Linked DNA regions of Arabidopsis thaliana. The protein of the gene in region 2 interacts with the protein of the main gene of each other region in a pairwise test. Each region holds a gene or a part of one and is shown on either strand. Other genes may lie near its edges.

Region 1 (6,032 bases), on a different chromosome or scaffold from region 2:
GCCATTATTATATATAATATAGAGAATATAGCTGTTTTTTTTTTCTTGTATTACTTTTTTAATTTATAAATTTTTGTTAGTTATTCTTTGCAAATTTCCCATAAAAGAAATAAAAGGAACACACAAAAAAAAAAAGAATGGTGACATCTAAAATTCTAAAAGCAACAATAGCGTGACACCAAGAGTGAAGGAAGAGACACCGTTTTCACAAACTGACAAATTCTATTACCTTAAGTAAGGTCCAGATTCTTCCCTGTTCCTCTTCCTCTCTGTTTCTCTCATTACCCATCTAGCAAAATTCAAGAATCGAACTAGGGCTACGAAATATTTCGATTTTGAATCTCCAAATCCAGAACTCGAGTGTTAAATCTTCGAAAAGATCAAATCTTTGGAGATGGGTCTTTGGGATTCACTTCTTAATTGGCTCCGGAGGTAAACAAATTTCTAACTTTCATTTTGTTTTGCTGATTAAGTTGGTTTATTAGTTGTAGTCCTTTTGTTCTTCCATTGAAGTAGTTTAGAGTTATAGTTCTGGGTTTAGTAAAAACGTTGCCAAAAACCAATTTTTCTCACAAAGAGTCAACAATTATTGTTTCAAAATCTCAAACTTCTCTTGAGTTTCTTGGGCTGTATCTTTTATTGTTACATTATATGAATTGGTTCGCTGAGAAATCTACCGTTATTTCTATGTTCTTGTGTATTAATTCTCTTGACTTGATTGTCATTTTAATCCATTTATAGTAGTGATGCTTTATGTGATGTTATAGAATGGTTAAAAGAGTAGGTTATAGTTGGTTAGTAATGTATTGTTGTTTTTGGTTATACTTATGTTTTTAGTGTATAGCAGAATCACGTTTTGGTAACACTTAGATTTTGATTCTGTGTTTGCTTATATTTGTTGTGTCAGCTTGTTTTTCAAACAAGAGATGGAGCTGTCACTCGTTGGACTTCAAAATGCTGGGAAGACTTCTCTTGTCAATGCCATTGCTGTGAGTAGAAATTTCATCAGAGGTTTTAGTCGATAAATAGTATTCTCGAACAAATCTAATCTTACGCGTTTCACTTCTTGTTTTCTTTGGATTTGTCAAGACTGGAGGTTACAGTGAAGATATGATACCAACTGTAGGATTTAACATGAGGAAAGTTACAAAAGGAAATGTTACAATAAAGATTTGGGATCTTGGAGGGCAACGAAGGTTTCGTACCATGTGGGAACGTTACTGTCGCGGTGTTTCCGCCATTGTGTACATCCTCTTAAAACTTCTTCGATATGTTTTGAACATCCCATGTTACTATTTGGTTAATAATCTTTGATGGTATATGTTGCTGTGGTAATATTGCAGATATGTGATTGATGCTGCAGATCGAGATAGTGTACCGATATCAAGAAGCGAATTGAATGATCTGCTAACGAAACCGTCTTTAAATGGCATTCCTCTTCTGATTCTTGGCAACAAAATCGATAAGTCTGAAGCTCTCTCTAAGCAAGCTTTGGTTGATCAACTGTAAGTTTCTTATTCAAAGTCCATACAAAACAATCTGGATTCGAGTATATGACTTTGGATTGTTTTGATGCAGAGGGCTTGAATCTGTAACAGACAGAGAGGTTTGCTGTTACATGATCTCGTGTAAGGACTCGATAAACATTGATGCGGTCATCGATTGGCTCATTAAGCACTCGAGAACTGCCACATAAACAGACACAACAAGCTCATTGGTCTAGAGGAAAACAAAGCTTGTTTTTGGTTTCTTGATGTTGTTTTATTTGTTGAGAATCAATCAGATGTAAATCATCAGCTTTTGGTTTCTTCTTGGTTTAAATCTTGTTTTACAATTCTTCAATGTTCAAATACTTTCGGTTCATGAAAATCAAAACCCGGTTTAATCCGGTTAAAACTTCAAAGCTTGCTAGTAATATTAACATCTTATTGGATTCCTAAATATTACATACTGGCATACTGCAATTCATTAGATTTATGAAATAACAAAGTCCAATTTTATTCATCTTAAGAAAACCAAAAACCGGTTTAACCCGGTTTAGACATCAAAGCTTGCTAGTAATATTAACATTCCTAACTTTAGACGATTTCGATGAAGTGTCCTTAGGAACAACAACTGTAAGAACACCATTCTCCACGTAAGCTTTAACTTGATCAACTTTCACATTCTCCGGCAACTCAATCCGCCGCAAAAACTCACTTCCACCACCGGAAAAAGCTTCTCTCTCCGCCACGTGCCACACCAAATTCTCCTTCTTCTCTTCCTTTATTCCTTCTCCTCTTATACTCAAAACATTCCCTTCTTCAATCTGTACTTTGATGTCTTCTTTGTTGTAACCAGGAACGTTGATCTTGAAGATATGAGAGTTGTTTGATTCCATCCAATCAATCAGAGCCGTTGATCTTGACCATTCTTGGAATCTTCTAAATGGATACAAGAATATTCCTCTGTCTGCCATATTCTTCTATCTTTCTTCTTTAGCTAAGCTTGTTTTCTAGAGATGTGTATATATGTTTGAGTGGAAAGTATTTTATACAGATTACAGAAGTCGAGACAGTTCTTCGTTATCTTGTTTCTTCTTCATTTTCTCTGACTCCAGAACTTTGGAGAAGCCCAGGGGGTTGTTATATGCTACGGTGCAGTGTATATTGATATGATGGATATCGATTGATTCTAACCGTTCGATGCGATTCTAGGATTTTTGTGATTATTTGGGCCTTTTATCTTTATCTGTTGTCCCTTTTTTTTGGTATATATATATATACTCTTCAATTTTAAATCTTGAAAAGTATTATATGTATAATATAAAAAATATATTATATTTAGATGTTCTCAAGTATAGAAAAATTAATATAAATTTCAAAAATAATTCATATACTCAAGATTTCATGAATAGCAACATATATTGATTTCAATCCTTTCTTTCTTTAGCTCTATAACATGATTTTTTGTTGTAATTTGTTTCCAGCTTTGCACGATGATGGAGAAACCGGTTAACATCAAGTTAAGAGTAACATTCTATGCAATCACGAAAATTTCACAACCCGAACAAAACTAAGTACAGTTGACGACTAGATATAAAACGAGTCATATCAGTCGTGAAAATGGAGAATTCGCAAGACTTAGACCAAATAAAGTGAAATGACTCTCATTGCCTACCTTGTGGCTAGTAGTCTCTTAAACCGGTGCGATACGTGTTTGGAGCTATGTGCGATTCATGTTAGGAACTTTGTGCTTCATTCATAACTTTTACATTTGAACCAATTGTTCTGTTGATGGATCCAAAATCTTTGGACCTTCCAAGTTATATATAAGAATTTTAATAGTTGTATTCACTAGTATAGTATAATAGATGAGTTATGGCTTAGACTTATTTATAGTTAGATCACTTTTGGATCTAGGTAGATTTTGACTGTCTTAGACTCTATATTTTTTGATAGATACGAAACCCACGGAACAACTTTGATTCGAATATTTTCATTTTCCATTGGGCAGAATAAGAATTCAAACAAAAGGTTAAACCCTAATTTGGGAGTTGAAGACTTGAAGTGAAGAGATTGGTGATGAATAGTTAATGATTTTTAAAAATTTTATAATATAAAGTATGATTTTCAAATTTGCTAACACATGTATCAAATACTTTGAGTGAAAGAGATAATCGACGTGTTAAATCTAATTTTATTAATATTTTTTATTTTTTTTAAAAAAGAAATTCTTGTATATAGACGTGTTAAATCTAATTTTATTAATATTTTTTATTTTTTTTAAAAAAGAAATTCTTGTAAAATCAAGTACTACTACTAATTATGCTAAAACGATGGCTCTCTCTCTCTCTGAGGGCGATTTTTTGCCTAACTCACACCGTTTCAATTCTCCTCGCCGGAGCAGTTCTCCGACCATCATAATCTGTCTCTTTTCACGGTTTTATGACGGCGGTTACTTTCTGCCAATCAGTTTCCATGGCAGTTATCATTGCCCTTCACTTTCGGAGGGTAACTACCCACACAAACCGCCATGGATACAAACTTATATATACTTCAATTCGCTCCTTCTTCTCCCTTTTCTGCAATTCACCATTTCTCAAACACTGTCATCCACAATCATGAGTGACAGACTTCGTAAATCGGTTCAGGATTTGAACTTGGGTATTGATGATGAACCGGTGGCTCTAACTTCAGAATTTTGTTCACAGGCTGCATATGTGAACCGTTTCTCCTTGGTGGTAACAACTGTGAATCCACGCAAACAGAACCTCCGTGCCTTGATAGGACAAATGCCACGAGTTTGGGGCTTTCCTGATTCGTGCGTCGGGCGGATTATTGACAAAGGCAGAGTTCAATTCAAGTTCCAGTCTGAGGAAGCGATGAATCTCGTGCTCCGTCGTGGACCGTGGTCATTCAACGATTGGATGCTTTCGATTCATCGGTGGTATCCAAACCTTAGCGAGGCTGAAATGAAGATCATTCCTTTTTGGGTACAAATCACCGGTATTCCTCTCCTTTTCCTTACCAATGCAATGGCTAGATGTGTTGGAAATAGATTAGGACATGTTGCTGATGTTGACTTTGATGAGAACTCAAACCATACGGGTTTTGTGCGAGTTCGAATCAATTGGAATTTGGATGATCCTTTACGCTTCCAAAGAAATTTCCAATTTGCTGATGGTGAAAACACTGTGATAAAGTTTCGTTTTGAGCGTTTAAGGAATTTCTGTACCAAATGTGGCTCCCTTAAGCATGACATCAAGGCATGCACCCTTTCCTTTGATAATGAAGATCCGGTGGAGACAAGTGATGATGATGATGCTGATGATGATGACGATCATCACGACGACAACAAAGAACATGACATAAGCGACACTGATACTCTTCAGACAGTGGATCCAGCGACTCTTATTCCCGGCCTTCAATCTTCGCTTTCAAAGGGGAATCAACGCCAGGTACAAAAACTTTCAGATGGTTATTCGGTTCCATGCGTCATTGAGGACACAGACCTCACAGTTGAAAGACTCCGCTACCTTCACGCCAAACTTGCAGGAGTTAAAACTGACGCACCGGTTGAGAAAGATCTGCTCCTTGAGTCCTCTGACAATGCACAAAATGAGTTTGTCTTCATGAAGAGAAAGAGGGTTCGATTTGAAGAAATGTACCAACAGGTGGAAGCTGCAGACGAAATGGGCGTTCTGAGTCAACTTTGCAAGAAAGGAAGAAAGACTGAATCTGCAGGATCGTGTTCGATACATGATGGACGTGACGGAGGCGCGGGGGGCCCGGTACCCCTAAGGGATCCAATATGAGGATCATCTCATGGAACTGTCAGGGCATCGGTATGCCGCTGACTCAATCACGGTTGTTTCGCTTATTCCGTATGTATAACTATGATATTTTATTTTTAGTTGAAACCTTAAACCAGTGTGATAAAGTATGTAAACTAGCATATGATTTAGGCTTCCCTAATGTAATAACTCAGCCCCCTAATGGAAGGAGTGGTGGCTTAGCTCTTATGTGGAAAAACAATGTCTCTTTATCCTTGATTTCTCAGGATGAAAGACTCATTGATTCTCATGTAACATTTAATAACAAGAGCTTCTACTTGTCTTGTGTGTATGGTCACCCTACTCAATCTGAACGTCATCAACTATGGCAAACTCTTGAAAATATCTCAGATAATCGAAATGCTGAATGGTTGCTAGTGGGTGACTTCAATGAGATACTTTCGAACGCTGAAAAAATTGGTGGTCCCATGAGAGAGGAATGGACTTTTAGAAATTTCAGAAACATGGTTTCTCATTGTGACATTGAAGATATGAGATCAAAAGGAGATAGATTCAGTTGGGTAGGGGAAAGACATACACACACAGTCAAATGTTGTCTTGACAGAGTTTTTATTAATTCAGCCTGGACTGCAACATTTCCATATGCTGAAACAGAATTCCTGGACTTCACGGGCTCTGACCACAAACCGGTCCTAGTTCACTTCAACGAGTCATTTCCCCGTCGATCAAAGCTTTTCCGTTTTGATAACCGCTTAAT
Region 2 (7,193 bases):
GTCTTGGAACCTTGAGTATTCGACTGTCCACTTATTTTTCTTAAGGAACCATGGTGAGACTCCGTCAGGCGCAACAGATGTCGCGTAGTAGTAGCGCGAGGATGGTTTCTTTTGGTGGATCATGAATTGTTGATACATGTCATAAGGATCTAGCTGTTTTGGTTTGGCTTCAGGAACATAACTAGAGCAAAAGCAGCACGGGACTCTGTCTTCCTCTTTCCCACTAGCAGGCGCTTCTCTGCAACCAAAACAAATTTAGAAACTTTTTAGGTTATATAAGATGAAAGATGCAAGATTTCAGATCTTCAAGATTCAAAGTCATACCCTGAATGCTTCCCCACTCGTTTGATAGCGTAGTAACAGTTTGAAGATAGAGGCTTATTGAGAACAGGAATGAAGACAACTGGGTCACAAGTAGCGTCATCTTCTCCAGCATTGAATCTGGCTGCTAGCTTAAGATTTTGCGGCAAGGGCAAACCACTTAGATACGAGTCCACAACCAAACACAAGCCGAAGCAACATGGACGTGTCTGTGAGTGTTGGTCTTGTATTACCAAAATTCCAGAGTTTGGACCCTCAGGAGGAGGCTGTCTTAGCTCTGCTGGATTTCTCTGGTACTCTGACAAACACCTCGTAACATACATTTCCACTGATTTTTGTAAGAGTAAACCAAATCGAGTGATCGTTTATATCTAGACTAGGAGAAAAACTTGGATCATATTTTATAGACTCAACAAGTTTTCAGAACACAAGGTGACTTGACTTTTTTGGATGGCTCGTTGTAAGAAACTTGACTGGATCTCCATAAAGATCTTGGCCTACCCTATTGTCACCTCTCATCAAGTATCTATAAAATAGTTTAAACAAAGTCTTTGCCTCTCTGTATCATGACACTACTCTGCATGCATCATGAAGATTCTGTCCACACCTTTTGCATCAGTCAAGTATTCAACGCTCCAACCATTCTAACGCAATCAATTTCTAAGGCACCCTCAAACCAAAAAATTCACAAGTCAAGTAACTCTACCATCTCAAACCTTTAAGAAATTGAGATAAGAGAGAGCAAAAGTTACAAAATATAGTTGTGGTAGAGAAGCAACAAGAATCCTACAAGACAAGACTCAAATCACTAGAAAAAATAATCTCACTAGCGGCTCAATCAACATTGTTTTTTAAGACTTTTCCGAGATCTTTGACTTAGCTTTTATGGAAGTCCTTTTTGGCAGTTTTTAAATTCACATCACATTGTTTTTAAATTCTATCACGTAACTTAAGTTTTTATCTACTTTGAGTTCCAAATTATGACCATTAACTTCATAATTGTTCATTTGAGCAATCTGCAGAACAGAGGTTTTGTATTGAAACAGAGCCCCCAAAAAACAGAACTTGAAGCAGAATTTAAGAGACATCATAAAATTAAATAAATTATGGAGATATGAGAATCAAATTGGAAAAGCTCTCAATCTCACTTTCTCTTCAACTTATAAACATGTCTAAACTCGTATGTGAAGACTTTTAAATTGGTAGTAGAATCAAAACACGTTATCAGCAACTTTCAAAGAACTTGATTTATATTAAAAAAATGGAGGGCCATAGTTGTTGGAATGAGGGTTACAAGTTTACAATATTAAAAAAAAAACATTTAAGAAGAATGATCAAATAAATGATTCATAATTGAAATTTACGTGAATTTAAATGCGAACTTTTTTTTTTTTTTAATTACTACATGAAATTGCATAAAACTTATTCATTAAATTAATTATTGAACCAAAAGATGACACACAAAGAAACTGAACAAAGATGAATAAAAAACTCAATCCCACTTGCTCTTTAACTTATCAACATGCGTAAACTCATATGTCAACACCAAACTCCCATCCATTCTCTTCAATTCGAAGCTCTCTATCAATACCAAACATCGATAACTCTTCCAATGCGATGACCCGCCTTCAAATCTCTCTGATCTCTTAATGTTAGATCTTTCACCGTTGTTTAACCATCCGAACCTTTCCTCTTCCCATTTCATCCTCTCCACGACAACAGACCCAAGACCTATCTTCTTGTCTTGTCTCTCATCCCCTAAAACACTAAACCAAACAAATCCACCACCACTTGTCTCTCTAGAAATAGTTTCTTGTCCCTCAAGCTTTACCACTTGTGTTTCTACGTCAACATCAACTACAACCTCTCCTCCTTTTTGGTTGTAGTTAACGTTTACGCATGAGTAAACCTCTTCCCATCTTTGTTTAAGCGTCATGCTGTAATAAGGTGAGCTCTTAATCTGATCTTTTGCATCTCTTTCTTTCACAAATATGAAAGGAACATACCATTTCCCTACCACAACACTTGTATTCATATCGTTGGGAAGCTTGGAACGAAGCGTAGTGTTGATCCCTTTTGCATCATCTGTCAAACCAAAGTCTTGGGAATTCGAATACTCAACGGTCCAGTACTTTCTCTTAAGGAACTCTGGTGGTATCCCATTAGGAGCAACTGAAGTGGCAGTGTAATAGCCTGATGATGGTTTACGTTGATGGACCTCGAACTGTTGATATATATCATAAGGATCTGCTTCTTGTGGCTTAACTTCAGGAACATAGCTGAAGCAAAAGCAGCAGGGGACTCTGTCTTCTTCCTTTGCACTCGCCGAAGCTCCTCTGCAATCCAAAATTAGTTTTTTTTTAATGAATACCATTTGTGCAAGTCAGGTCAAAAGGGGTGGCCAATCCGGTCAAACCGAAACCATCCCAAGAAAACCAAACCCAAAAGCAAGTATCTCGAACCATGCATGACATAAATTGATTAAAACCTCAAAAAAACAAAACAAAGTCAAGAAAGTAATTAAGATTTTTGGCCATACCCTGATTGCTTCCCACGTCGTTTAATGACATAATAACGGTTCGAATAATAAGGCTGATCAAGAACCGGAATGAACAGAACCTGGTCATGGTAACTGCGCCTGTCATTACCAGTTCCGGTTCTGTAAGTCACAGTCAGCTTTGCGTTCTGTGGGAACGGTAAGCCTTTGAGTTCACCATCGTAGCAATTTCCAAAGCAACAAGTCGGTTTTGACTCTTCGTCTTGAATCACAAGTACGCCGGAGTTTGGACCTTCCGGCAACGATCGTGTCAAGTCCGACGAGTTTCTCTGGTATTCGGAGAGATGCCTTGTAACATACATCTTGAATTCAGAATCTTGATCAGGTTATTGATTAGAAGAGATATGATATGTTTATATATTGCACCATGTATTGAGGATAACGCGGTAAGCAAATTTTACAAGTTATCGTTTGAAGACTTTTCAAATTTTTTTACTTTATGGTTCAATTCAAACTTTAGAATTCCAAAGTTATGACCTTGACCTGGTTTCACAAACCTATCATGGAGAATCAATCAAACAAATTCTATATTTTCTTTATATTATGATTGACCTAACTATAAGGATCTGCTTCTTGTGACTTAGCTTCAGGAAGAAACTGAAGCAAAAGAAACAGGGGACTCTGTCTTACTCTTTGGCACTAGCTAATGCTTTTCTACAAAATAATTACAAAACTTTTGAGGTTTTTTTCCTTTTAGAGTATACACCCTTTTTGTGCAAGTTAGCTTCACCACATAACACATGAACTTGCATTAACCTTTCAATAAAATGAACACACCATAAATTGAACACATAACACACAAAGAAGCTGAAATAAAGTCAATCCCACTTACTCTTCAACTTATCAACATGTCTAAACTCATACGTCAATACCAAACTCCCATCAGTTTTCTTCAGTTCAAAGGTCTCTACCAGTACATAGCATCTATAACTCTTCCATTGTGGTCCACCGCCTTCAAATTTCTCAGTTCTCTTAATGCTAGACTTTAGTTCATTGCCTTTCTTCGACCACCCAAACCTCTCTTCTTCCCATTTCATCCTCTCCAAGACCACAGACCCAATACCTATCTTCTGAGTCTCTGAGACACCAAACCAGACAACTCCATCTGAATTCACACCTTTTGTCTCTCTTCCAATATTTTCTCCTTCAAGCTTAACCACTTCTGTTTCTACCTCCACATCAACTATAACCTCGCAATTTTTATTGTCAACGTTTTCGCAGAAGAAAACCTCTTCAAATCTTTGGTGAAGTGTCATACTATAATACATCGATTTCTTCATCTGATCTTTAGCATCTCCTTCCTTTACAAACAAAAACGGAACATACCATTTTCCAACTACTACACTCTTACCGAAATCGGGAAGCTCATAGCGCAGCTTTGCATCAACTACACCCTTTGCATCATCAATCAAACCATAGTCTTGGGAAGCAGAGAAAGGAACGGTCCAGCCTTTTCTCCTCAGGAACCGAGGTGGTATTCCATCTGAAGCAACAGATGTAGCGAAAAACTTGCGAGTTGATGAGCCTCTTTGATGTATCTCAAATTGTTGGTATATGTCAAAAGGATCAAGAAGCCTTGGCGTAGCATTAGAGACATAAGTAAAACAAAGGCAACAAGAAACTTTGTCCTCTTCTTTTGCACTAACACATGCTTCTCTGCAATACCAATCAAAGTTTTAAAAGATGTGAATTTAGGCCGCTAAACTATTAATCTTGGCTTAATTAAAACTAAAACGATAAACTTTGATATCTACATAACATGAGAAAGATTCAATAGAATCATACCCTGCATGTTTCCCTCTTCGCCTTATAACGTAGTAAAGATTGGAAGAAGGAGGCTGGTGAAGAACGGGGATGAACGCGACCGAGTCAAGCAAGACAATTCTGTCATCTCCATCTATGGTGAAATCAAAGCTTAGATAATAAACAGAGAAGAAACAGAAACAGAGTAAAGTAAAATGATTGACAGAAAGTTAGGAGTGAAATGACTAGTAACTAACGTCCGATTTGGTATTTAACGGTGACTCTTGTGTTCTGAGGAAACGGCAAACCATTGAGATCACAACCAAAGCATTTGCCAAAACAGCATGTAGGCTGTGATTCTTCGTCTTGAATCACCAATACGCCGGAGTTTGGACCTTCCGTTGGAAGGAAAGTAAGCTCCGATGGGTTTCTCTGGTACTCGGACAAACGCTTTGTTACATACATCTCTCCTTGATTCTTTGTTACTCAAGATCTAACCTGTCATCGTTTATATAAAACAAAGGATCATAAGAACGTGCAAGGAAGTTTACTAAGCTATTGTTTATAAATATAATCTGAGGTTTGACTTAAACATTTGTCAGAATCTCCTGTGGATGAGTACTAACAAGTAAGAAGACAAACAAACTCTATATTTTATTCTTTCTTCACCCAAAAAGATTGAAGATAATATCAAAACACAATACACGGAAAAAACCGAATTGAAAATGGCTATAGATAAATCACACTGACCAATGGATTCATGTCATTGAGATTGAGAAAGTTTTTGCAGATTTGGTTGCGTGATAAGCTTAATCCCATTTGGTTTTGAGCTTATCTACATGTGTAAACTCATATGTTAAGACCAAACTCTCATCCATTCTCTTCAAGACAAAGCTCTCTATCAGAACATAACAATGATAATGCTTCCAAAGGCTACCATCTGTTGATTTCTCCAATCTCTTAACTGTCATTGATCGCTCATTGTCGCCTTTGCCTGTCCACCCGAATCTCTCTTCTTCCCATTTCATCCTCTCAACAACAACTGATCCTAAACCGATCTTTTTGTCTCCAACCCCAAACCAGACAAACCCATTTGCTTCCAGACCTCTTTCAATCATTTGTCCCTCAAGCTTAACAACTTCTGTTTCTACTTCTACATCAACGACAACATCACGGTTCTCGCTTTTGTCGTTCTCATCAGAAAAAAGCTCTTTCCATCTTTGTTCAAGAGTCATGCTGTAATACATCGAATTCTTGATCTGATCCTTTACCTCTCTTTCTTTCACGAATATGAAAGGGACATACCACTTCCCAACCACAGTGCTCATACCAAGAAGAGGAAGCTCAGTACGAAGCTCTGTGATGAGTCCTTTTGCATCATCTCTCAGTTCAAAGTCTTGGAACCTCGAGTATTCAACCGTCCACTCTTTTTTCCTCAGAAACCATGGTGGGACCCCGTCAGGAGCGACAGATGTTGCGTAGTAACAACGCGAGGAAGGCTCCTTTTGATGGATCTTGAATTGTTGGTACATGTCAAAAGGATCTAACTGTTTTGGTTTGGCTTCAGGAACAAAACTAGAGCAAAAGCAGCAGGAGACTATATCGTCCTCTTTTGCACTTCCAGACGCTTCCCTGCAATGCAACCAAAATTTTATAAACTTTTTCAGGTTATATAAGAAGAAAGATTCAAGAATTTCAGATTTGCGGATTAAACTTCATACCCTGAATGCTTCCCATGCCGTTTAATAGCGTAATAACAGTTTGAAGATAGAGGCTTATCAAGAACAGGAATGAACACAACTGGGTCACGAGTGCTGTCATCACCTCCAATATTGAATGTGACTGCTAGCTTAAGATTTTGGGGCAATGGCAAACCACTTAGAGAAGAGTCCACAACCAACCACGAGCCGAAGCAAGATGTAGCCCGTGTCCGTGAGTGTTGGTCTTGGATTACCAAAATTCCAGAATTTGGACCCTCAGGAGGAGGCTGTGTTAGCTCTGCTGGATTCCTCCGGTACTCTGAGAAACTCCTTGTGATGTACATTGTTTCACTAAATCGAGTTTTGGACTTGGAGAAAAACTTGATCCTATATTATAGAGTAAACAACTCTGTAGAACAGCAACTGACAAGGTGACTTGACTTTTCTGGATGGCTCGTTGTAGGAAACTTCAAAGAAACTTACTTGATCTCCTTAAAGATCCTAGCCTACCCTAATTTCACCTCTCATCAAGTGTCTCTAAAATAAGATAAACAAAGTCTTCGCCTCTCTGTATCATGACACCACTCTGCATCATGAAGTATTCAACGCTCCAACAACTCTGAAAGATGACATTTTTATTTTCATTTTAAACAGAGTTTACATCAATGTAAAAGCAGAAGACTAAATAAAAGAGAGAAGCTCACAAGTCAATATTGGATAGTCCTCAACTTATCAGCATGTCTAAACTCATATGTCAACACCAAACTCTCATCCATTCTTTTCAATTCAAATCTCTCTACCAATACATAACATTTATAACTCTTCCAATGCGATGAACCGCCTTCGAACCGATCCAATCTCTTAACCGTCAC
Region 3 (6,680 bases), on a different chromosome or scaffold from region 2:
CACAACTCGTTAAAATGAAGAATGCGAGCGAATACACATATAACTTTCAACATACCTTTCGTTTCGGTTTTGGGTCTCCTCTGGCCAGTCAGCAATAACAACAACACAAAAAAGTTTAGTTTTCAACATTGAGCATTTGGATTAAGTAATAGAGATAAGAACTAAGCCAGTATAAGCTACAATGAACATGTTAGGGGTCCTGGACCAACTCATTTCATAGTCACTTAACAAGGCAGTTAAATTGATGCGATCAACAAAAGCTAGCAAAGGAGATGAGGCAGATTCAAAACTAGTAAAGGTCAGAACCAAAAAGAAAATTCCTTGTTAGCTACGATGAAGAAAGCACACCGTTTTGGTATTTCGCATATATCATAATCTAATGTATAAGATTTTGATTATTTTAAGTGAAATTAGGGAAGTTACGATTAAACTGTTAACGAATTTTCGACAAAATTAAATAAGGAAAGAAACTAGAGAGCAAGATTTGAGAACTGAGAAGCTTCTCTACATACGCCGACGATACGTCTGTCAAATTGGCGAGATGCTTTTATATTCTCTTCATCCTCCTCAGCTTCGCTGTGTTTAGAGAAAATTTAAAGCTTTTACATGTATAAGCAGTTAAAGATTTCTACAAGCATAAACAAGAAATGATCGAGGAAGAACGAATTACGTGTTTGAGGTTGGAGCGATCGGAAGACGGCGAGAAGGCCTCGGAGGATTTGGTTGGAACCTCCGCTGACGAGAAATGGAACGGAGTAAGGTCAGTGAAACGCAATTTTCGCGGCAAATTTTTCGAGATTTGAGATGAAATTAGGAAGGAGAACAAGAAGATAGAATCAGTAGAGGTTTACCTTAGACTTTTGTTCGCCTGAATCCATGGCAGAGTCTCGCCGGTAAAAGATTCGGAAACGAGGGAAAAAAAAAAAATTGGGGATTTAGGAAAAAGATGGCTTCGAACCCGAGACCTCTGTAGTACTGAATAGCTGGATAACCAAATGACTTAATAGCGCTTTTAGTAAGTTAAGTCAATCTTTATATTTATAGCTTTGGAAATTACAATTATTATTTTTATACATTCTTTGTGAGAAGTAAACACTTCTACGTGTGTATATGTGATTGGATAGACATTTTTAGATTTCATGTCTAATTTTTTGTATAAGTATATTTTCATTAAGGTGTATGTAGAAATTGCATAACGAAATTTGTAATACACATTAACACATGGCTTCAATCGTATATATCTAGAAGTAGAAGACTGCGTCTTGAATTAGATAGCGAGTTCTGGCATCAACAACAATCCAGTTTGCAAAATGTGCAATGTGATTAACATTTTAATTACATGTCCTAACGTTTGAGTTATTAGAGAAACATTATCTCTGTTCTTCAGTCTTTTGGAGAATATGGACCCTCAAGCTACTCTCCTTTGCCTGTTAAAAGAAAATTATCTCACCATTTTAGCCTATGGAGCTTCCACATCCAAATTGAACCAATAAAAAACAAACCATTCAAGTTATAGATAAAACTACCGGACCGGTCACATATATATAATGAAATTAGGAGATAATGAATTACCGTGAAGAGAGGAATGGATAAAAGGCTCTCGTCCATTTCTTCAAAATATAACAATTCTTGATTGAACATGCCGATCAATTCTGTCAGCTCATAGAGGATTATTTCAACCTGCTGATATTTAATCACCCAAGACATTCTTAAATTAATTTCTTTTACATGTATCTATACAAAAAAAGTTAGGAAAATGATCTGTATAGATAAAGTGGACTTACTCGTGGGAGAAACTTGATGATGACGTCTTCGATCTCGTCCATGACTTCTATAGCTATGACCATTTCTTCATGTATCGACACCATATCTATCTGTAACTTCCAAATTATTAGTTTCTGCTTTCTTGACAAATACACAAAATGTTTATAAACAAATTGGTTTCCCAAAGAGAGAAATTCTAACCGTGGCACCATGTACGAGGGGTAATCGGACAGACAAAGCATGGAGTTTTCGAGTTAGCTTGCTCAACGCTTCGGAGTTTTTTGCGTCTATTTTTGACCACTCATTAAGTAAAGGCATTTGGAGGCTGAGAACTTCACGTACTTTGATATCTTGACGGAGCCTTTGAATTTCAATCAAATTTTCTACAACGTAGTTCCTCATTTTGTATATCCTAAGCCAAACCCAAAACAACTGATCCTGAAACCATTCACAGAAACAAATTAATAGATATTTATAAGATACAAATTTAAATATTTTTCATATAGTTTTTGTACCTCAACGTTGATCTTAAGGTTTGCCATAGTGGCTTCAGTTCTTGCGTTAACAAACCTCCATTGAAGTAATCTGTTTTGAAAAATCCTAAACCGGTGATAATCCTCCTCTTGTACCGGAGATACTTTCTTCTGCGCCATGAAGTACTTCAAAACTCCTGCCACCGCTCCACCGCCACCGCTTCTTATCTTGGCCTTGCTTACGGGTGACTCAGGCGGCGTCATGCACATTGAAGTCGTCGGAGCTGAGCTGGACAGAGGCGTCTTCATAGTCGAAAGTCTTCCAGGAGACAACGCCCACGCCGATGGTGAGCTGGCTCCCGGCTTTACCCCTCTCGATGAAGCGTTACTACGAGGACTACCACGCGTACGTTGCTCCAAGTACCGAGCAAACGACTCTCTGCTTCTACCGTTGTTTATCTCTTGAGATCTTGATGCGCTGTTTCTCGCCGGGATTATGTTCTCGCCGGATTTAGAGTCGGATGATCCGATGGGTCTGGAGGATCTTGTTGTGGACTGTGATCTGGTTATCATCACTCGTTTGCTTGAATTGGAAGGCGAAGAGGAAGAAGATGAAGAAGTAGAAGACGATAACGAGGCGTTTAAGGACACTGGGAGAGAGATTGAAGAGCTTATAGTCCGGCTCCGGTTATTATTGGGCGATGGAGGACGGAGTCTCCGACCGGTGGTTGCCATTTTCTTCTTTAATATATGACGACGGTTAACTATATGACTATATCATACAAGACTTATATTCGGTTTCGTTTCTCGACTCACTTGCCCCTGTCCTTAAGACTCTTATAGTAAAGCTGGAATTATATGGTTCAAGGAATCGTCTAGTCTATATACACTGGTTTGAACAATTGTGATATATAATATAGTTAGGGGTATATTATATTTAATCTGTTAGATAACGGTTGGGGTACTTGAAGATCTGTAGGAGTTGACAGCACGTAGAGGCAGAGGTAAGAACACTTCTGCATGTAGTGTGTCTACATAATAAAATATAGAGTGTATTTTTTACACACACCAAAAAGAGAGATTATAATTAATGTATTATGTCAAAGCATATATGAAGGTCAGCTTAGCTAGAGACACGTCTTTTGTTTATCTCTCGACTAAACAACATGGCGTTTTAATAAAATCAAAACTTAAAAGGTCCAATTCAGAACGGCCCCATAGTATATAGTCTACGTTGAATAAATAAACCTCAAGATAGCGTCAAACTCTTTAGTCTTTACCCAAAAATATTTTTTTTTAAATAACGTCAAAACTCTAAGTCTTGACCTCAACACCAATATATATTTGCCTTCTCCAATATCTGATTTTTTTAATTGTTTATCCGAGTCTTCTTGGTCTTTTCGAATGTTTGCCCGAACCAGACCTTCCCACGTTCGGTGGTTGGTGGCCGCCTCGGCCTTTGGTTGATTTCTGTCCACATTTTGGTCCTTTTCATTCATGTACCATGTTCTAGGGTCATTTGACTTGTTGACCATAAATCTACTAAAACAGGCCTAATACCGATGGGCCGTAGCCCGTTAATAAACAAGACAATTTATATTTGTTTCACTTAGCTTGGGAGCCACGGATCTCTAGAAACATCCAGAGAAATATCAATCTCCCCACTTCTCCAGAACATTCACTCACTGACAATATCCCACCTTCAACACTTAACTCCTGTATATAGTCCTCCCCTGTCTCCAGTTTCGTCGCACACAGTTCTCAGATAAATACTAAACTCACTGTTAAAACTTTCTCAACAAAGCTTCCTGTTTCTCTACAAATGGCATCTGCTCTCGCTCTTAAGAGACTCCTATCATCCTCCATCGCTCCACGTTCCCGTAGTGTTCTTCGTCCAGCTGTTTCCTCTCGCCTCTTCAACACCAACGCCGTTAGGAGCTACGACGACGACGGCGAAAATGGAGACGGCGTTGATTTATATCGCCGCTCTGTTCCTCGCCGCCGTGGTGATTTCTTCTCAGGTAACAAACCAATTGTTTCGCTTTTCCTCCAGATCTATGTCTCTCTGTTGTTAACGTAGCGAAAATCTAGTAAGAAAACAGGTATTAGCTTACACTGAGCTCAAAATCTTGACATGATTGATTGTGTCTTTGTGTAGATGTGTTTGATCCGTTTTCGCCGACGAGGAGCGTTAGTCAAGTGCTGAATCTGATGGACCAGTTCATGGAGAATCCTCTGTTATCAGCTACTCGTGGCATGGGAGCTTCAGGAGCTCGTCGTGGTTGGGATATAAAAGAGAAAGACGATGCTCTGTACCTGAGAATCGACATGCCTGGGCTGAGCAGAGAGGATGTGAAGCTGGCTTTGGAGCAGGACACTCTGGTGATTAGAGGAGAAGGAAAAAACGAGGAAGATGGTGGCGAGGAAGGAGAGAGCGGTAATCGGAGATTCACAAGCAGGATTGGATTACCGGATAAGATTTACAAGATCGATGAGATTAAGGCGGAGATGAAGAACGGAGTGTTGAAAGTTGTGATCCCGAAGATGAAAGAACAAGAGAGAAATGATGTTCGTCAGATCGAGATCAACTAAAAACGTCGACGTTTTTTTCTGTTCTAGTTTTGTTGATAGGTCTTTGAATAAGAAGTGTGTGTAGTTTGGCACGGTCGATGTTGAGTCATGTAGTCTCTAAAGACTAAAAGGTTATATGTTTCTTTCTTGAGACGGTGGTTTTTTGTCTTGCTTAAACCAAAATTTGCATTCCAAATCAAAGCACTAATTAAATAAGTTCCTAATCGTGTATTCTTTTAGCTAACTCGGTCGGTTTACATGCCTTTGTGGTTATGAGACTGGAGCTTATGGAACGTATTTGGGTTTAAAATTTTCTGTAGACTAGGAACTAGGAAGACTTTAAGACGAATTCTGAGGCTGCGTAAGTTGTCGACGGACTGGTCTATTAATAACGCGTAAAAGTGTTAGGCCCGTTCGAGTAGAATAGCGCGTTGGACAGCCCAACTTGAATGAATCGATCGACTTTTATTAAAAAAACAAAAGTAGGGCAAAAAACAAAAAACAGAACCTCGACATTAACCTAAACCTAAGAGCAAAGCAAATCGACGGCGACGGGAAAATAGAACCGCAGATCTCTGTCTCCTCTCTCTCTCGTAACTGTTTGTTCGATGGCACCGAAGAAGGCGGAGGAAGTGGTCGAAAGCCCTCCTGTTTCCAGTGAAGAAGAAGAATCTGGCTCATCTGGAGAAGAATCTGAATCTTCTGCTGAAGTTCCGAAGAAAGTCGAGTCTTCGCAAAAGCCTGAATCTGACTCTGAAGGCGAATCTGAATCGGAGTCCAGTTCTGGGCCCGAGCCCGAGTCCGAGCCTGCTAAGACGATCAAGCTGAAGCCTGTTGGGACTAAACCAATTCCAGAGACGTCTGGATCTGCCGCGACTGTACCTGAGAGTTCAACGGCTAAGCGTCCTTTGAAGGAAGCTGCTCCTGAAGCTATTAAGAAGCAGAAGACATCGGACACTGAGCATGTGAAGAAGCCGATAACTAATGATGAGGTTAAGAAGATTTCTTCAGAGGATGCTAAGAAGATGTTTCAGAGATTGTTCAGTGAGACGGATGAAATCGCTTTGCTTCAAGGTATTATTGATTTCACATCTACCAAAGGAGATCCTTATGAGGATATTGATGCTTTTTGCATTTATGTGAAGAAACTGATCGATTTCGATGCTACCAAAAACCAAATTGTTACTAAACTTCAGAGGTTGAAGAAGAAGTTTAATAATGCTGTGAAGAATTCTCTTAAGAAGGGAAAGACTGAAGATGATATTGAGTTTGCTAAAGATCTTGAGCAAAAAGGTTTTGAATTGTCCAGAAAGATTTGGGGAAGCAATGGTGTTTTGGTTACTGGTAAATCATCAAGGAAGAAAGTTGGAGGAACACCTGCACCGAAAGAGATGAAGTTAGTAGCTCACTCTACTCCCAAGAAACAACAAGAAGAAGCGAAGAAACCGGAAAGAACAGAGGCAAAGGTTGTGAACACAGGTCTCTCCATTGGTAAAGAGATTGCATCGTTCCTCAATGCAGATAATGGGAGTTCTTGTGGTTTGGATGAATCCACATTAACTGCGGTTTGGGCAAAGGTTGCGGATGGAGCTGAGAAGAGAGAAGTGGAGGAGAAATGGAAGAAGCTTAAGGCTAAGCAGTTTGAGCTATGTTTGCAGAGGTCTGGACTCGTGAATGAAACTGCAAAGATGATATTCAAAGCCTATGAATCTTGAGCGGTTTGTCTTTTTACTTTTTTAGTATGCATCTTTGAGTCTTTTTTGTATTGTGCATTTTAGCTTGTGAAACTAATCCTTATGTAAGTCTTTTTTCGTATTTTCTTTATGCCCCTATGTTGGATGTTTGGTTTGGGTATATGACCCTTTTATTTAT
Region 4 (9,795 bases), 480 kb from region 2:
GAATTTTCTCTGTTCTTCTCCATCCGTAACTATCACAATCTATGCAACAGCAAAATCATAATTTATGTGATTCGTTGCTCAAGAACCATTAGAGATAGATACATCAAGAGGAGATTAAAGATCAAACCTTTTCCTGAGTTGCTTTCTCTAGAAAACGGCAGACGAATTTCCAAACGGTCACGAAGAATCCGGGCATATGCAAAATGTAGCATTTTGCAAGGCGTTCCGGGTAGTAAGACTAGAGAAACATTTTCCAAATTTAATAGACAGGACTTCTTTTTGTGTGATAACTATATTGTTTCAGGAAGAAGGGAGATGCTTACTTGTAAGAATTGAAAGCCAGTGATCAATCCACGAGCATCAAGGTTCTTGTATGTAATGTTTGCCAGATCAATAACGGCTACTAATTTCTCACCTCCAACTTCTTTGCCATTGTTGCCACTGAAACATAAAAACCAAAAAGCTTGTCTCACAACCAACTAACCGGAAGATTATTGAAGTGTTTTGGTTTCAATAATGTGTAAACACCTTGCGATTGTTTTGTCTAGCGCATAAACAACAAACTCTGCAACATCAAACAGATAAAAGATTAGTTCATAGATAATTATCGCAAGAATCAACTCAAGGAAAACACATAGATGGACTCAAAAAACTTCATTCATTTGAAGTCAAATGAAACTACTCAATAATTAGAGAACCAGGAAAGAAGCTGATCAGTTCTATGAATACAAAAGTCACTGAAAGTCAAGGGACAGATTATTTCCAACGAAAGTAAAGGTCAGAAGCAAGTGAGAGGTGATTACTCTTGAAGTTAGCTGGATCCTTAGAAGCAAAATGCTTAGAGGTTATGACAAGCACCAATGGGTGTCCGGATTTGGTCGGACCCTGAAGACAGACCTTTCTGAATTCCAATTCATCCTGCACTTCTGACTCAGGGATGAATCCAGTTGGAGGAACCATGGAGGCTCTCCATTTTTGCCAATCTACAAACATCTTTGCTGCCTTGACTGGGTCCATTGATCTTGCCACCAGGAACCTCATCAATGTTGGTTTGTCATATCCCTTTTCAGAGGAAACAACAACAACAAAAACCATTGATGAGATTTTCTGATTATGGATTCACTTTTACTAAACTGTCTCTACTGTTAGGGTTTCTGATGGGAGGCTCAAACCTAATCAGACAAACCACTATGACGAGAATGGAGACAGAGTTTTAACAGTGTAGCCCATATAAAACCCATCAAAATCAAATGACAGATATTTCTCATTTTCTAACGAGACATTGTCAGTGAAACTCATGAAACGGCCAAAAGATGCAAGCTTTGTAAACTGTAATGAAACTAAAGCGTCGAATTAGATTACCTCAGTAGAAGAAGAGAGTTTCTCGACCGATTTTCTCAACTGGGTCAAGGCAAGTTCTTGGCTTTCCTCCATGATCTTTGGCTCTCTCAGATCCTAAAAAAATCTCACAGAGAAATAAAGAGAGAGCCTTTTGTGGTCCGTACAGACGCACGATAAAGTAAGTTGAAAAAGTAAAGAGCTTTGATGTTGACAAAGACCCAGAAGCCACAGGAAGAAGAAACAGACAAAGTATTGGGTACTTGTCTCTACGGTAAGTGGATAGAAATAACTCAATAAGCCTTTCCCCAACTCGCTGCAATTAATGGGCAGCTGGAAGTTGAAGCTCTCTCTTTGACTTTTGTTTCTACTACTTTGACGATTTAAAACAGCTGTGATGATTACATTGCTTTTTAACTCCTAAATCCCGAATCTTAAGGCTTACTTAAAGTTCTTTTAATCATTTTTCTGATCAACCATGTGAAACAGGCTTTGTTAACGGTTATACATTTAGCTGCTTGTTCTTAATTGAGCATTGGAAATTCAGTTCTAACGATTTTTATTGTTTGTGACAGAAGAAAAGTCCTTTAGGTTAATAAGTTGTTCTATCTACATGAGATGTACATTAAATTTTCAAGAAAGATTAGCTTCTTTGTCATCTATTTGTTTTTAAACTTGAACTGGATCCAAATACAGTAATGGCACAAGTGGAGACCAATTGAATAAAAATCAAAGATTAGCTTCCTTTTTGTCTAATGTAAAGAGTGCGACTTCAAAATATGTCTTAACTGTTCTAAAAACCAGTATTCAAGAATCGAAGATACACACCAAAAAAAAGTGGGAAAGTTGTGATAGAAATTAGCGACCCAAGAAAACATGAGTAGTCGCGTGTATGTTTGTGTAGACTGGAAGTTAGAACTCCAAACATATCTATTATAATGCAGTGTGCCCACACGAACAAAGAAATTAACAATATAAAGAATATGTCTTAGCAAACCCCCTTACTTCCAAGCCACTGCATCGATGTCGTCTCTAGCTTGTTTGTAAAGCTCTAGCCGTTTAGCTAAGGTTCCTCTTCGTTCCATCAGCTGTGGGTCTTCGTCCAACATAGCACCCAGCTTCTCCTTCTGCACCATCATTTTTCTTAAATTTATTCTCGATTTGGGCATGGCATTTTCTACAAGGTAACAAAATAATCCAAAGGGTAATAATATAGTTTACCTCTTTCCTGCCAACTTGAGCGTAGAAGAAGTTGAGAAGCGATCTCTTAGCTTCTCTAACTTGGCAGTAAACGACAGCTTTGGGAAGAGAGTTTCTCAATGTGTCGCAGACCATGTTTATGTATGCACTCACGTTGGATCCTGAATTATCCAAAGTCAACAAACAAAGACTTGATAATGTATCATTTCTAAGTAAAGGGAGGCGAGAGAGACACGTACCGATCTTTCTGAAGTGATTATCGGAGTAGGGGTCTGCGTTTGGTGCTGGGGCATTCCTTGGGTTTGGTTTCTCTTTCTCGGGTTCAAGATGGAGTTTCCTGAAGAACTCAACCGTGAGGTAGCTAGATTCCATATCCACCAGACGCAAAACCGTTTTCCTGCTTTCGTCTCTGAATCTTTCAAGAGCTTCATTTGCAGCAGCTGCTATATCGCTTGCTAGAGTCGGGAAACGCTTCAGTTCCTGAAAAAAACAGCAATGGTATGTTAGGACTAAAACAGAGCGTAAAGAGCTAGGAAGAGTTCTCAAAACCAAAGGCATCTTGTCAGTTCTTACCTCTGTTTCTGAAATTGACTTTCTGACCAGCTCCTTCAATACGAAATGCACCTAGGAAATATCAAACAGCAATCAAGAATATAGTCAATTTACTAAAACTTAAGTCTCAAAAGTAATGCAATCTAATAAATTTTGGAAGCATACTGCATCGACAGTGGCTTCAGCTGGTCCTTTGAAATAGCTTATGGATCCATCAATGAGCCTTCTGTATCCTTGTTCAGGAGCAATAAGATGCGGCTGATAACCATCTGCTTCTGAAACAACCTTCTGAACATTTTTGGTAGACAGATGTCGATCAAAGGGAAGTTTCTTTAAGGCTGCTGGTAATTGATGGTCGAAAACTCCATAAATTCGGTCTCCACCAGGTCGTCTGATACAAACAACATAATGACTGTCAGAAGACCAACTTTACCGGACGTACATTGTGAAATTATGTGAAGCATTTTCTGGCAAACATCTATGAAAAGGTCATTGATGTAATTTTTTTACTAAAACTGCACATCCTTAGTCTGGAAACTGACTAGAAGGTAAGCAAAATTCATTATAGAGCAGCACATTACTCTGGAAACGACACTATCTCTTAAAAAAATTCATAGACTCCAAGTTGATCATCACAGTCGCAATGTAATAGTACACCAACAAGAAGTTATAAGCTTTACGAATAAGAAGTAGAATAACTAAATCACTTACCCTCCATCCAAGTGCTCCTTAAAGACACGATCAAATGCCCGGCAGAGTTCCAAAATTGTGTAAAGTTGGGCCTGAAATCATATATTTAGTGAGTGACTAACCATACGATTCTGATGCAACTCTGAATTCCAATTACTTAATGGTTTAAAATCTTACTCCTGAATCTACTGCAATGGGTCTCCCAATCCTATCAAGTTCTGCATTTATCTCATCGATGCTTTTGTTGATCAAAGCAACAATACTGGGGATTTTCTGCCTGATAACAGTCTCTAAGTGCTAATAGAGAGGAAAACAAAGAAGGAAGAAAGTCAAAGCTAAGCATTCAAGCTTTAATTTAAACGAGATCTGTGCAAGTAAATCCAAAGGGTACCTGAGACAAGAGTTTTGCTAGATATTCTGATCCCATTCTACTGGCTAAGTGCCCGTATTCAGGGCTTGTTTCAAAATATTCTTGCTCTTTTCTACGTGCAGCAATCATATCGACTCTCTTATTAATATCAGCTTGTGAACGATTCACAATTCCAACCCAGGGATGTTGCAAACGGTATGACCTTCCCTCAAGAACCTTCATCAAATAGGTAGAGGAGGTGTCACAATATATTAAACAAGTAACAGAATTAGTTGACACCCCAAGGTGCAGAAATCAAGAAAGACGCTTACATCTAGACAATCTGTTCCTTTATCCATGATATCAAGCTTGGTTGCAACACCAAAAGTCCTTTCGCCTACAGAAATATATTAGAAGGTTAAGAAAATGTTGTGGAGTGTAAAAAGTCACTACTTACCAGTTATTAGGAAACTACATTTAGGTCGTACCTGTAGGATCAACTTCTCTAGCAAGTTTTATAGCATCTGAGGTAGCAATATCTTGATTTGCTGGAGAAATAGCCAATATGATGCAATTTGGCTGCAGTTAAAAGATTTTATGGATAAGCTTCCAGAGTTGACATTATAGTGAGTGATGATGATCAAATGCATTCTTCTGTTCAACTTGGTTGGAAAAGTTGAAAAGATTGCCGAAACCGTCTCAGTAATAGCTTAGAGCAAGACTGACCTTTTCAACATAAGACCGGACCATATTTTCAATGTCTTGGACAATACTTTCCGGTTGTCCATCTACACGAATAATATTCATATCAGTGACTAGTTTAAGCACAAGATTCATATCAGTAACTAGTTTAAGCACAAGCTAAGCTACTGGATAAAAAATAGTAAACTCTTACCTACAGCGACCTTGGTCAAACCCGGAAGATCTATGAGCGTCAGATTAACAACTGTAGAGAAAAGAGTAGAGTGAGAAATCAAAGTCACATGGAAGAGGTTAGCAAAATTGGAATCTTCAAATCTAATTGTACTACTCGTTATCTCATTACAGCTGGTATCAAACTATCAATAATATAGGAAATTTACGGTGTTGGTTTCTGAACTAACTACAATAGGAATGCATAACAGGAAATGTGGTCTTAAGCACAAACCATTAGGAGAATATATGCTCAGCTGAATTGGAATGTTTGAGATTTGTTTTGACTTCCCAGTAATACGATCAGTTTCATCCTCAATTTCTTTCCGCACAGCAGCTGAAAAGAGAATAACACTTAGATTAGCCCGACATGCCTTTGTCGATTTCACTGTTTCCAGCAATTAGCGTGAAAGATTCAATCAAACTACCAAAATCAGCAAATCTCTTCTTAGGAGCATGAAGAAACTCAGCGTACTCAGTTGTCCCGTCTTCAGTCTTATGAAGTTGCAACACCAATGGCCTCCTTGTAACGATACCTGATAAAATCAAATGGTATCAATTTAGATGGTCTCCTTCTTCAGTCTCATGTTTTTCGAAGTAGTCAAAATGTTCATGTAATGCTCTCAAGATCACAGAGCTTCGCTAAATTGTTTGAAATCGAAGCAACTAATAAGAGCACGAAATTCCGAAAACCTAATTTCAATTCCAAACATCGAAGACACTAGACAAAATTGCTTAACGAGAGGTAAAATTACCAGATCCACGAGGCAGAAAATCTCTTCCCACAACACTTTCTAGAACTGAAGATTTTCCGGAACTCTGATCCACAATATCAACCAAACAAAAATGATAAATCAGAAACGTGGAGATTGAAGAGGCGAGAAGTGAGATCGGATCTTAACGTAGAAATGTGTATATTCAATAGAAAGAGATCAAACCTGGCCACCAACGACAGCGACGGTTGGGAGAGCTTCCCAAAGCGACATTCCTTCACCGCCATGATCTCCGAGGACAGTACACGCCCTCTGGATTTTGTTTATCAGACCTATCAAACTTTTCATCGTCGCCATGTTTCCTGGAACGTATCACAGATCCAGAAAATCTCTCACCGACGCTCAGATCTAGATCTAACGAAACGAATATAGTTATCGGAGGATGGATTTGAAACGTCCGGTGAGTTGTTACTCTCTCGCGGTAGCAGGAGGGATTGATGAATCTGGGAGAAAAGAGGAAAGAACCCAATGGAGCAGAGAACGGTAATGGGAAAAACAATTTCAAACCAAAAAAGTAGGACTACTTGCTCAAATATATAATACTTTTGGACCGAAAGTGAAAATATATCAAATCCCACGTCGCTAAACGCGTACCGGTCAATGATACGGAACCGGTTCAATTCATGTGGTTATGTTCTTTTTTTCTTTCTTTTTTACTCAAAAGTCAAAACTACTAATTATCATTAAGACCTGATTACATTACAAATGTACTTTTTTCCCAATAAAGTCTGACTACAAATGTTGTAAATATCCTTCTCAAATCTCAATGATGGTGTTCTTATAACTCATGTGGTGTTCATTAACTCTATCTCTCTCTCTTTTTGTATATAGCTTTTTTGGGTTTTACCAGTTCTTTTTTTGAACACCAAGAAGAGTTCTTTTAAAGATAAAAAATTAGGCTACCAATATAATCGAGGTTAATAAGAAAATTAACTAAGAGGAGAGAGTGACACACACAAAACAAGAGAGTAAAAAAGCTTAAAATGTTGAACAAAACAACCCTACCTCTACTACTGCAGTACTACTATACATAACGCAACAGAGTAAGAAATATATCAGCTAAGTGAAGTCAATGTCTCCCTTTACCTTGAATGTTGGAATGCTTTAGAGAAACACACATCGAATCAATCAGGTACTTTACACGATTATCTCTTTCGGCTTTTGAATCCCTTCTCTCAATTTGGTACAAGAACCTTAAGGCAAGCCACAGAGACCAACCAGTGATTGATCGAATCAGTTTGTCACTGTGTGCTCCTCGTCATCCCGATTCGTCCAGACACTCTACCAAATGATAAAATACATAAACAATAATGACATCTAAAGGTAATAATAAAGCTTATTGTAGTTGATATGATAATACATTAATACCTTCCAGAAAGTAGCTGAGCTGTGTTTCCCTTTGAGACCGAGAGACGTCTGGTCTTACTATCTTGTTGTCCTTTATCAACAACACGCATTGCAGCAACTTCTTTCCCCATTACAGCTACTTCTCTTCGCATCTTCTTTGCCTCAACGTCCATCGCCTTTGTTAATGTTTCAACCTTCTTGGCCAACATCTAAATATACACAACCCATATCTTTAGACTTATATTATACAACATTTCATATAAAGGCGGCAAAGAACAGGAAAAAAGGCCAAACACTAGCAAACCTCAATCGCTTCGTCCTTGTCTCTCAGGCTCTGATCTTTTTCATGCGCCGCTTTTCTTAATGTTATGACCTCTTTCTGCAGCAGATCGTACAAGACACCTGGGACGCTATCATTATTTGTTGCCTTGTCAGCTGATTCTTCTTCCCCTTTTATTGAGCTAGGCGATTCGCCTCTGCTAGTTCCTTCAGAAGACTTGTGGTTCAAAGGAAAATTCGATCTCGGTCCATTTATTAGCACTTTGCTTCTATCCAATGATCTGGTGCCCCCATCAAATGATCTTGATGTTCCTTTCGCATGCTTCAATACAGTGCTTGCACTAGCAGTCAATGATCTCAACTGAGAACTTGGTGTTCTCTTAATCAGCGAGCCATTTGATGTAATTTTTGGACTTGTTTCAGCTCCACCAAGGGATTGTCTTCGAGTAGGCCCGTTGCTCGAACTTCTACCAACAGATGTGCCTCTGCTGCTGCTGCTCGTAGGCCCCTTTAAACTCTCTTCTAACACTCTAAGCCGCAGTAAAAATTTCTCCTAAAAATAAGTAAAAGCAGCAATTCCTCAGTTAGGAGATTAAAAAAAATAAGATGGTGTCCCGCAGCTATGATTCTACCTTCAGCTGAGCTTCAGATTTTGCAGCTCGGTCAGCTATGGCAAGTTTGTCGCGTAGTTGTTGCATTTCTCCCTGTCCAAACATAACGGTGGTGGCAATAGTATAAGTTAATCTCCGTGAATATGAATCACAATTTGAAGCAGCAAGAGAATTTAAATATTAATATGTATCAGCAATGACCTGCAAAAATCTACGTTCTTCAAGCCACTGCCTTACAGGCATCACTTTGTCATTAGAATCTTTCCATTCGTTAGCTACAACAGTAGCAACTCTGTTTGCATTTACCTTCGCACGGGCCAATTCCCGTTCAAGGATTTTCCTCTCTTCCTAAGGAAAACACAAAACACCACAATTACGATCAGTACGAGACCAAAACACTAACAAGAAAAACAGTAAGTTATTGAGGTACTATAGAAGCATATGAAATATACATTCATTTCTTGGAATTTCCTTTGGTAATCTCTCACTGCGTTTGCGGCTGCACCACCAGCAAGAACAGCTTCTTCTAATTCCCGAACACTCTGCATAAGCTTTTCAACTTCTGCAACCTTCTGTCTGTGCATCTTGTCTATAATTCTATTCTCTTCCTATTTTAACCAATGTATCAACAAATAAGGCCACCACAGTGGTAAGAAAAGGAAGAGATACCCTATTCTGGTGTTCCAATATGTAAAAGAAATGATATAGACATACCTGACAAATTTCAATCTGTTTCATCAATTCTTGGTTCTTATTCTGGAGATCATCAACCATTGAAGCCTTTGCCAATGCAGACTGAACTGTCCTTTCAGCGTCAAGCAAAGCTGCTTCCTTTGATTTGGTTAGGCGGTCCAATGATTTATTGTCGTCTTGAAGTTTAGCAATCTACCAATCAAAACATGTAAACCCATATGAGAAAGCTGTTAAATGTCCCGTAAGTTGTTGAATCGAGCTATACAAAGGTAATTCTGGTTCAAAGGAAGGAAAATACTTCTTGTCTCGAAAGTTTCAGTTCAGCTTCTAAAGGGGCAAGAATAGCTTCAATTGGAGGCATGTCATCATCCTTTTGAGCAGCATGAACCCTACGAAGAGAAGCTTCTGCTGCAAACTGAGCTGCCATGGAAGCCTTCTTTTCTTCATTTATCTTCTTGATTTCAAGGTTCTGTGACAACATACAACATCATTATATATAGAATCAATATAAATAAGCGATCAAAGAACAAAGGAGATATTAGAAGCATACTTTACTCTCAAGAAGATTTTCAATAAGTTTGAGTTTTTCCGCCATCTTTCCCAACTCTTCAGTGAGCTTCAGCACTCAAATAAAATAGCAGAGAAGTCAGTACACAGAGAGTGTAAAGAGAGAAACTTTATATGACATAATTCCAAACAAGTAAAACCAAGCTCAGGCTACATGACTACATATTCTATAAATAGGAATATCACAATGCCACTCAAGCTAAATACTTTGTTTATGTAATGGAAGCTTAAAGTGTAAGGGCATAAACCTCTTCAACAGCCTTCTCTCTTTGTCGTTCAGACAACCTCAAAGCTTTGATTTCAGCTTGTCCTTCAGATAATTCCCTATCCTTATCTGTATAACCAAGTCATTGTTTCAAACACAAGAAGCAAAGTACTAATCCAAAAACCAATCTCAAATTCCATTGTCAAATCATCAACAAAATCACATTTCTCGTACCTCTGACTTCATTCTCCAGCCGATTTAACTCAATTCTCACGGGAT

Evidence for each region.
Region 1: the proteins of AT1G13520 (region 2) and AT5G37670 interact in a two-hybrid assay, tested with the Arabidopsis thaliana proteins (one large-scale study listed by BioGRID).
Region 3: the proteins of AT1G13520 (region 2) and HSP23.6-MITO interact in a two-hybrid assay, tested with the Arabidopsis thaliana proteins (one large-scale study listed by BioGRID).
Region 4: the proteins of AT1G13520 (region 2) and DL1C interact in a two-hybrid assay, tested with the Arabidopsis thaliana proteins (one large-scale study listed by BioGRID).

The regions. Positions count from the first base shown.
Region 1 is NC_003076.8:14,965,461-14,971,492, reverse strand, and holds AT5G37670 (HSP20-like chaperones superfamily protein), read right to left. Parts: upstream 2,736-6,032; 5' UTR 2,459-2,735; coding exon 2,045-2,458; 3' UTR 1,902-2,044; downstream 1-1,901. Other genes in the region: ARLA1A (ADP-ribosylation factor-like A1A), read left to right, coding at 395-432, 908-989, 1,090-1,244, 1,344-1,505, 1,579-1,696. UniProt on the Arabidopsis thaliana protein: Possesses chaperone activity.
Region 2 is NC_003070.9:4,630,044-4,637,236, forward strand, and holds AT1G13520 (hypothetical protein (DUF1262)), read right to left. Parts: upstream 3,257-7,193; 5' UTR 3,181-3,256; coding exon 2,861-3,180; intron 2,658-2,860; coding exon 1,814-2,657; 3' UTR 1,590-1,813; downstream 1-1,589. Other genes in the region: AT1G13510 (hypothetical protein (DUF1262)), read right to left, coding at 1-238, 325-644; AT1G13530 (hypothetical protein (DUF1262)), read right to left, coding at 3,697-4,534, 4,664-4,775, 4,879-5,086; AT1G13540 (hypothetical protein (DUF1262)), read right to left, coding at 5,431-6,253, 6,343-6,665; AT1G13550 (hypothetical protein (DUF1262)), read right to left, coding at 7,029-7,193.
Region 3 is NC_003075.7:12,913,030-12,919,709, forward strand, and holds HSP23.6-MITO (mitochondrion-localized small heat shock protein 23.6), read left to right. Parts: upstream 1-3,896; 5' UTR 3,897-4,059; coding exon 4,060-4,258; intron 4,259-4,395; coding exon 4,396-4,829; 3' UTR 4,830-5,081; downstream 5,082-6,680. Other genes in the region: AT4G25180 (RNA polymerase III RPC4), read right to left, coding at 56-80, 513-576, 671-735, 852-878; QWRF7 (QWRF motif protein (DUF566)), read right to left, coding at 1,371-1,427, 1,573-1,683, 1,785-1,874, 1,966-2,202, 2,280-2,972; AT4G25210 (DNA-binding storekeeper protein-related transcriptional regulator), read left to right, coding at 5,417-6,523.
Region 4 is NC_003070.9:5,105,360-5,115,154, forward strand, and holds DL1C (DYNAMIN-like 1C), read right to left. Parts: upstream 6,388-9,795; 5' UTR 6,112-6,387; coding exon 5,980-6,111; intron 5,861-5,979; coding exon 5,797-5,860; intron 5,578-5,796; coding exon 5,470-5,577; intron 5,379-5,469; coding exon 5,277-5,378; intron 5,076-5,276; coding exon 5,025-5,075; intron 4,918-5,024; coding exon 4,856-4,917; intron 4,709-4,855; coding exon 4,618-4,708; intron 4,527-4,617; coding exon 4,462-4,526; intron 4,367-4,461; coding exon 4,172-4,366; intron 4,078-4,171; coding exon 3,958-4,077; intron 3,873-3,957; coding exon 3,802-3,872; intron 3,482-3,801; coding exon 3,256-3,481; intron 3,163-3,255; coding exon 3,112-3,162; intron 3,019-3,111; coding exon 2,778-3,018; intron 2,700-2,777; coding exon 2,560-2,699; intron 2,466-2,559; coding exon 2,340-2,465; 3' UTR 2,057-2,339; downstream 1-2,056. Other genes in the region: AT1G14820 (Sec14p-like phosphatidylinositol transfer family protein), read right to left, coding at 1-39, 128-238, 324-441, 529-565, 804-1,062, 1,363-1,434; MAP70-4 (microtubule-associated proteins 70-4), read right to left, coding at 7,056-7,095, 7,183-7,370, 7,466-7,993, 8,073-8,144, 8,253-8,399, 8,504-8,659, 8,766-8,936, 9,043-9,213 and 3 more. UniProt on the Arabidopsis thaliana protein: Microtubule-associated force-producing protein that is targeted to the growing edges of the cell plate during cytokinesis. Also plays a major role in plasma membrane maintenance during pollen maturation. Has a GTPase activity.